Macaca mulatta: one gene and its partner. The protein of the gene in region 2 interacts with the protein of the main gene of each other region in a pairwise test. Links are inferred from orthologs where the notes say so. Each region holds a gene or a part of one and is shown on either strand. Other genes may lie near its edges.

Region 1 (4,483 bases), on a different chromosome or scaffold from region 2:
ACTCACGCTTGCATTCCCAGCACTTTGGGAGGCTGAGGCAGGCAGATCACCTGAGGTCAGGAGTTGGAGAGCAGCCTGGCTAACATGATGAAACCCCATCTCTACTAAAAATACAAAATTAGCCGGGCGTGGTAGTGCATGCCTGTAATCCCAGCTACTCGGGAGGCAGAGGTTGTGGTAAGCTGAAATCGCACCATTGCACTCCAACCTGGGCAACAAGAGCGAAACTCCATCTCAGGAAGAAAAAAAAAAAATTAGCCGGGTCTGGTGGCACATCTATAGTTTCAGCTACTCGGGAGGCTGAGGCAGGAGAATCGCTTGAACCCGGGAGGCAGAGGTTGCAGTGAGCCGAGATCGCGCCACTGCACTCCAGCCTGGGTAACAGAGTGAGACCCAGTCTCAAAAATAAATAAATAAATAAATAAATAAGGCCCTGTCTCAAAAAAAAATAAAATAAAATAAAAATAAGTAAAAATACAAAAATTAGCTGGGCATGGTGGCACACGCCTGTAGTCCCAGCTACTCGGGAGGCTGAGGCATGAGAATCGCTTGAACCTGGGAGGTGGAAGTTGCAGTGAGCAGAGATCCCACCACTGCACTCCAGCCTGGGCAGAGCGAGACTCTGTCTCAAAAAAAAAAAAAAAAAAGGAAGACTCTGGGGAAGGTCTCCAAGGAGGTGGACCCTGAGATCTGGGTCTTGGGGAAGGAAATTTGGCCAAGTCCAAAGCCTGAACAAAGGCCTTCAGGAGATTTCTTTTTCTTTTCTTTTCTTTCTTTTTTTTGAGGCAGAGTTTCACTGTTGTTGCCCAGGCTGGAGTGCAATGGCGCGATCTTGGCTCACAGCAACCTCTGCTTCCCGCTCAAAGCAACCTCTGGCTTCTTTGGAATCAAGCGATTCTCCTGCCTCAGCCTCCTGAGTAGCTGGGATTACAGGCATGCACCACCACGCCCGGCTAATTTTGTATATTTAGTAGAGACAGGGTTTCTCCATGTTGGTCAGGTTGGTCTCGAACTCCCGACCTCAGGTGATCTGCCCGCCTCTACCTCCCAAACTGCTGAGATTACAGGCGTGAGCCACAGCGCCTGGCTCAGGAGATTTCCTACAGCTCAAAATTTGTAAGGCAAAGAGATGACCACAGGTCTTGTGAGAGTGGCGAGCGACCTCGGCTCTCTTAGTCCCGCCTGGCCCACCAGGCACTGCACAGTACGGTAGAGGCCCCGCCCGACCCAGCCCTTGAATCGGCCTGTTGCAATCACTATCAACCCGCCAATTCTGGCCCCTCCCCTGTCTTCCGGGTTCACTCTCTCACTTCCTGCCGGGCCCAGGCTCAGGCCCCGCCTCCGTCTTGTTTGGAGGAATCCAATCGAACCTGGAGGGCTGCGCTCCGCCCTATGCCTCGCCCGCCTCTTCCAGGAGCAATCAGAATCAACTCAGGCCCCGCCCCCGCTTCGGTCCGCCGAGACCACGCCCCTTCGGCGCAATCAGGCCGTCTGCTGGCCCCGCCCCCTAAAGCCCCGCCCTGTCGAATCTTATCCCTGCGCTGCTTCTGCGGCTGCATCTTCCAGACTCCGCCCCGCGCGCGGAGCTGCAGCCATGGCAGTCACCGCCCAGGGAGCCCGCAGGAAGGAGCGGGTCCTCTGCCTGTTTGACGTGGACGGGACCCTCACGCCGGCTCGCCAGGTAGGACCCTGAAGTTTGGAAGCTCCCGCCGGGAGTGTCACGCGGACACCCCCGAGGCTGAGTGTGGGATCTGCAGCAGAGTGACCGTGGACACGCCGGGACCGAGTGTAGCATGCGGCAGTACCCGGCCCCCTGACATCCGGGGCCACCCACCGGGAGTGAGGGGACCTGGCCCTCCACGTCACTGCCCCAGCAGCGTCCCTGCCTGTGTTCTGCTTGGGAGTGTTGGGGTAGGATCCAGTACTGGAGGGAAGAGGCTGCGATCAGGGGCCTAGCTCCCTCTGTCCCCAGATGCTTTCACATGCCCCTAGGGCCTGGCTCCCGGAGGTCCCAGCCTCCTGAGCTGGGGATCCCACCCTAGTTCAGCCCTACAACGCACCAGTGGTCAGAGCTGGCTTCTGAACCGGGGTTCCAGGCACACAAGCACGCAGCCAAGTGTCAGTCACCATCTGGTAGGAGACAGGGGGTCTCAGAGTCTTCCCACCCCGACCTTTGCAGGCCTGGGCCTGAGTCTAGTTTCTGAAGCCCTATCATCCACCTTACCTTCCACCCCCAGTCGTGGAGCAGAGAGGGCTTCTTTTCAAATTCGTTTATGGGCTCTACCCACCCGTAGGTGAGAGGCTTCAGGCCTAGTCTGTTTGCTGTGAGGACACTGAGGCATAGTGAGGGTAAGAGTGTGGTTTTCTTCTAAAGACTCACTGTGTTGAGCCTCTTACCTCTGCTCAGTTTTTCTCCCACTGGGTCTCATTGTGAGTGAGTCCCCAAAAGCCCCCTCACCAGCTGGATGCATCAGTAAGCAGGTTTCATTCGTGCCCTCCCTGTGGGTAACCCACCCTCCAGTCTGGGGGCCTCAAGGACCAACCGACAGGTCTCCTAGCGTGGGGGAACAGTGGGATGGGCTTTACTGGGCAGTGGCTGATGGGAACCCAGGTCTTAGCCTCCTCTCTTAGGTCCCAAATGCCCCTCCCCATCCTCTGTGGTGAAATTACCCTGGCTTGGGCCCTGAGGACTCAAGGAAGAATCAGCCCGCTCTGCCTTCCTGCAGGGGTGGGTCTGGGAGGAAAATGACAGGACTGGAGGAAGATGACAGGACTGGAGCGAAGGTGGGCTGGGTGCAGTGGCTCATGCCTGTAATCCCAGCACTTTGGGAGGCCGAGGTGGGTGGATCACCTGAGGTCAGGAATTCGAAACCAGCCTGGCTAACATGGTGAAACTCTGTCTCTACTAAAAATACAAAAATGAGGTTGGGTTCAGTGACTCATGCCTGTAATCCCAGCACTTTGGGAGGCCGAGGTGGACAGATCACAATGTCAGGAGTTCAAGACCAGCCTGACCAATATGGTGAAACCCCGTCTGTACTAAAAATACAAAAAATTAGCTAGGCATGGTGGCATGCACCTGTAATCCCAGCTGCTCGGGAGGCTGAGGCAGGAGAATCGCTTGAACCAGAGAGACAGAGGTTGCAGTGAACCAAGAATGTGCCATTGCACTCCAGCCTGGGCGACAGAGCGAGACTCTGTCTCCAAAAAAAAAAAAAAATAGCTGGGTGTGGTGGCATGTGCCTGCCCATAGTCCCAGCTACTCAGGAGGCAGAGGCAGGAGAATCGATTGAACCCAGGAGGTAGAGGTTGCAGTGAGCCAAGATTGTGCCATCGCACTCCAGCCTGGGCAACAAGAGTGAAACTCCATCTCAAACAAACAAATAAACAAAAGAACTGGAACAAAGGTGGCAGGGCCTAGGCGCAGTTCTGATGCCTCCCTCTGACCTTCTGTTCCACAAACATAACAACCTGAATAAGAACAGCCTATTAATTTGTCTACGGGCCAGCCTCTGTGCTTAGTGCCTTTTGAAAGTTAATTTTTAATTGTACACATATTCATGATCACACTCTCCTGGTAAAGAATGAAAACCTAACAGAGAAGGGTAAAGTCCCCTCTGACTACACCAGGATCCCAGGCCTGGCCCCCCTCCCCAAGGTAATGTGGTTACTGTGGTGTGGCTTTCCTCCAGGATCTGTTTGCCCAGAGCAAATATTAAACATTGTTTTGTGGGGCTATTTTTGTTGTTGTTGTTCTTTGGCTCCTCAAGAATCAACTTGATTGTGATGCTATTTTGTTGTTGTTGTTAGAGACAGGGTCTCGCTTTGTCAGCCAGTCTGGAGTGCAGTGGCGCCATCACAGCTCACTGCAGCCTCGAACTCCTGAGCTCAAGTGATTGTCCCGCCTCAGCTTCTGGAGTAGCTGGGACTACAGGCGAGTGCCACCATGCCTGGCTAATTTTTTTTTTTTTTTTGGAGACAAAGTCTTGTTCTTGTCCCCCAGGCTAGAATGTGATGGCGTGATCTGGGCTCACTGCAACCTCAACCTCCCGGGTTCAAGCGATTCTCCTGCCTCAGCCTCCTGAGTAGCTGGGATTACAAGCGCCTACCACCACGCCCGGCTAATTTTTTAACTTTTGTAGAGACAGGGTTTTGCCAGGTTGGCCGGGCTGATCTCGAACTCCTGACTTCAGGTGATCCACCCGCCTGGGCTTCCCAAAGTGCTGGGATTACAGGCATGAGCCACCGCGCCCGACCGAAAATTTTTAAAAATTAGCCAGGCATGGACTGGGCGCAGTGGTTCATGCCTGTAATCCCAGCACTTTGGGAGGCCCAGGTGGGTGGATCACCTGATGTCAGGAGTTCAAGACCAACCTGGCCAACATGGCAAAACCCTGTCTCCACTAAAAATTAAAAAAAAAAAAAAAATTAGCTGCGCATGGTGGCAGGCACCTGTAATCCCAGCTACTCAGGAGGCTGAGGC
Region 2 (3,810 bases):
CTGAAATTTTTTTTTTTTTTTTTTTTTTTTTGAGACGGAGTCTCGCTCTGTCGCCCAGGCTGGAGTGCAGCAGACAGATCTCAGCTCACTGCAAGCTCTGCCTCCTGGGTTTACGCCATTCTCCTGCCTCAGCCTCCCGAGTAGCTGGGACTACAGGCACCCGCCACTTCGCCCGGCTAGTTTTTTGTATTTTTAGTAGAGACGGGGTTTCACCGGGTTAGCCAGGATGGTCTCGATCTCCTGACCTCGTGATCCGCCCGTCTCGGCCTCCCAAAGTGCTGGGATTACAGGCTTGAGCCACTGCGCCCGGCCTCAACTGAAATATTAAGCAATAAAAAAACTAATCCTTATAAGCATCCTCCTCAGATGACTCTGGCTATAAAGGGAAACAATTCAGATACACAATTTTCCTATTTAAAAATGAAGAGGCCAGGCACGGTGGCTCACGCCCGTAATCCCAGCACTTTGGAAGGCCAAGGCGGGTGGATCACAAGGTCAGGAGTTCGAGACCAACCTGGCCAACAGAGTGAAACCTCGTCTCTACTAAAAATACAAAAAACTAGCCGGGCATGGTGGTAGGCGCCAGTAATCCCAGCTACTTGGGAGGCTGAGGCAGGAGAATCGCTTGAACCTGGGAGGCAGAGGTTGCAGTGAGCCGAGATCGCGCCATTGCACTCCAGCCCGGGTCACAATGCAAGACTCCAACTCAAAAATAAACAAGTAAAATGAAGGTACCGGCAGGGCGTGGTGGCTCACGCCTGTAATCCGGGTACTTTGGGAGGCTGAGGCAGGTGGATCACGAGGTCAGGAGTTCAAGACCAGCCTGGCCAACATGGTGAAATCTCGTCTCTACTAAAAATACAAAAATTTGCAGGACGCAGTGGCAGGTGCCTGTAATCCCAGCTACTCAGGAGGCTGAGGCAGAAGAATTGCTTGAACCTGGTGAGGCGGAGGTTGCAATGAGCTGAGATCACACCACTGCATTCCAGCCTGGGTGACAGAGTGAGACTCCATCTCCCCCCCCCCCAAAAAAAAAAAAAAAAGGTACCTACGAAGTCTCTAGAGTGAAGAAAAATAAAATAGTGAAAATTTCCTTCATAGCAATTCATGTCCAAAAAAGATTTTTATAAAGAAAAGATGAAATCACTTTGAATTTACTTTTAAATTAAGACTTTTTTGCAACTGTACTACTTTTTTTTTTTTTTTTTTTTGAGACAGTCTCTCACTCTGTTGCCCAGGCTGGAGTATAGTGGCACGATTTCAGCTCACTGCAACCTCCGCCCCCCGGGTTCAAGTGATTCTCCTGCCTCAGCCTCCCGAGTAGCTGGGATTACAGGTGCCTGCCACAGCACCTAGCTAATTTTGTATTTTTAGTAGAGACAGGGTTTCACCATCTTGGCCAGGCTGGTCTTGAACTCCTGACCTCGTGATCCACCCTCCCTGGTCTCCCAAAGTGCTGGGATTACAGTTGTGAGCCACTGCGCCTGGCCTGTACTACCAATTCTAATTGAGGTGCCATGGGCAGAAATGGGCTTCACATCTCCACAAGTCTTTTAACACTGGCTTTCTTTGCAACATTTGAATTAATATCACAAGTTCATTACCCGAATTTCAATATCCATCTCATGAATAAACAAATAATAAACAGTAAAAGCTCTTACTATTAAGTAGTATGGTCAAAACTATTTAAAGCAGAAAGAGTATGCAGTAAATCGCTTAAGAATGCTGAAAGCAAATATTCAAGCCATGGGTTCTACAGTGAATGTTAATATATTTTGCATCCTGTGACTTGAATATTGCTTTGCTCATTTGACTAAGGTATCACAATCAAGCTATTCAGTGCAACTACACAGTCTGGTTCAACCACACAATTAGAAAACAACAATCAAAAAACAAAAACCCACACCACTGAATTATAATGGATGTTTATAAGAAGACTACTAAGAAAAGAGTGTACATTTAATCATTATGAATAATTTTTAAAGATAAGGTTTTTCCAAACTGGTTTGCTCTTTAACAAAACAATATTCATGCTTATGAGATCTAAAAAATGCAAAATATTTACTGGCTTCAAGTCTAAACAAACTTGCACAAGAGTTATTTACACGTGAGCTTAAACAAAATAAAATTCATTTTCCCTTAAGGACTGGGTGTTTAATATTTACATTTATATTTGAGGTTCCCATGCTAAAGAAAAGCAGGGGAGGACACAAACTTAAGGATTAAGCATGTCTCCTTTCACAACAAATTTTCAGTGAACAAAAACAAAAGGCTGTATAACACAGAAATCAAACATTACACACACATAAAATAACTCCATACCTCTTGTCAGCAAGATCTGTTTTATTTCCTACTAGCATGATGATAACATCACTTCCTCTTTCTGTTCTGACATCATCAATCCACTTTGTAGTTTGCTGGAATGAGTTAACATCTGGTATAGGAGGGTAGACAGATTAGTGTTGCTGAAAAATGCCTCCCCAGGTGGTGGGCACCTCCCTCCAAAAAAGCCCTGGAAGTTGGAAGGGGGCTGGCACATTAGTACCCCACTTTTAATGTGCCTGCAACATAACTCCATTTTATCTGATTACAACTGTCAGCAATTTAAACAAATTACAAGAATAAAATCTTCAAGGTTCCTTTTAGAGTAGTTTAAAATTTTTTTGAATATGACCAAGTGAGTGCAATGTAGTATTTAATTTAAAAAAAAAAAACTTTTTGAAATATAAGGACAGTTATGGCAGATAATATGGTGTCACATTGCCACAATGCTTTTTTTATCACTTACACATACCAAACATAACAAAGAAAGCATTTTCAAAAGTATGTCAGCCAGTAAGTCCCAACACATCCAGAAAATTTGTAAAGCCTTTCAATAGCTTTCAACACCACTGTTGGCACAGCTTCCTCAGTTTGTGATCACTTTAACCTAAAATTTATTTGTTTAATGCACCAGAAACACCTGTAACAAAATTTATCTTTTCTAGTGTTGGATTCTAAGTAGAGTACTTCAACATTTATTACAGCAGCTAAAGAAAACAATATACTAATATTTGAATCACATTTGTGGATTAAAAAAAACGTAAGGTTTCACTTGCTGTGGTTAAAGTAAGCACAAACATTTTAAAGCTACAAAACGTGTCAATGCACAATATGAACATACTTCTTTTTTTTAAACAAACAGCAACCCAAAGTAAAGGTGCAAAAGAAGAAAGATTGCATATAGCACCTATTTAAAAAAAAAAAATCCTTGAACGCAATCTTCTAATTTTGCCAGCACAATTATTCATTATTAGATATGATTCCTGATTGAGATATGCAAAAATGTATAGTAACAGTTTTATTAGTCCAAATGAATAGTTCCTTTGTCTATGTAAGTTTTTTTTAGCCCACGATACTGCATCTGTGTAGTGTGGTACACATTTTTTAAAAATCTAAAAAGAAAGTCCCAGATACTGGGCTGGGCACAATGGTTCATGCCTGTAATCCTAGCACTTTGGTTTTTGTTGTTGTTGTTGCTGAGATGGAGTTTTGCTCTTGTTGCCCAGGCTGGAGTGCAATGGCACGATCTCAGCTCACTGCAACCTCTGACTTCCAGGTTCAAGAGATTTTCCTGCCCCCGTCTCTCAAGTTGCTGCGATTACAGGCATGCGCCACCACATCTGGCTATTTTTGCATTTTCAGTAGAGATGGAGTTCCATCATGTTGGTCAGGCTGGTCTCAAACTCCTGACCTCAGGTGATCCACCTGCCTTGGCCGCCCAAAATGTGAGGATTTCCAGCGTAAGCCACTGTGCCTGGCCTAATCCTA

What was found.
Region 1: the proteins of RAB6A (region 2) and PMM1 interact in binary tests that used the Homo sapiens proteins (3 or more experiments, as listed by UniProt). The two-hybrid records come from large-scale screens. The link is inferred for Macaca mulatta from reciprocal best matches to the Homo sapiens genes RAB6A and PMM1.

The regions. Positions count from the first base shown.
Region 1 is NC_133415.1:9,910,562-9,915,044, forward strand, and holds the start of PMM1 (phosphomannomutase 1), read left to right. Parts: upstream 1-1,564; 5' UTR 1,565-1,594; coding exon 1,595-1,681; intron 1,682-4,483. UniProt on the Homo sapiens protein: Involved in the synthesis of the GDP-mannose and dolichol-phosphate-mannose required for a number of critical mannosyl transfer reactions. In addition, may be responsible for the degradation of glucose-1,6-bisphosphate in ischemic brain.
Region 2 is NC_133419.1:74,098,882-74,102,691, forward strand, and holds part of RAB6A (ras-related protein Rab-6A), read right to left. Parts: intron 2,435-3,810; coding exon 2,323-2,434; intron 1-2,322. UniProt on the Homo sapiens protein: The small GTPases Rab are key regulators of intracellular membrane trafficking, from the formation of transport vesicles to their fusion with membranes.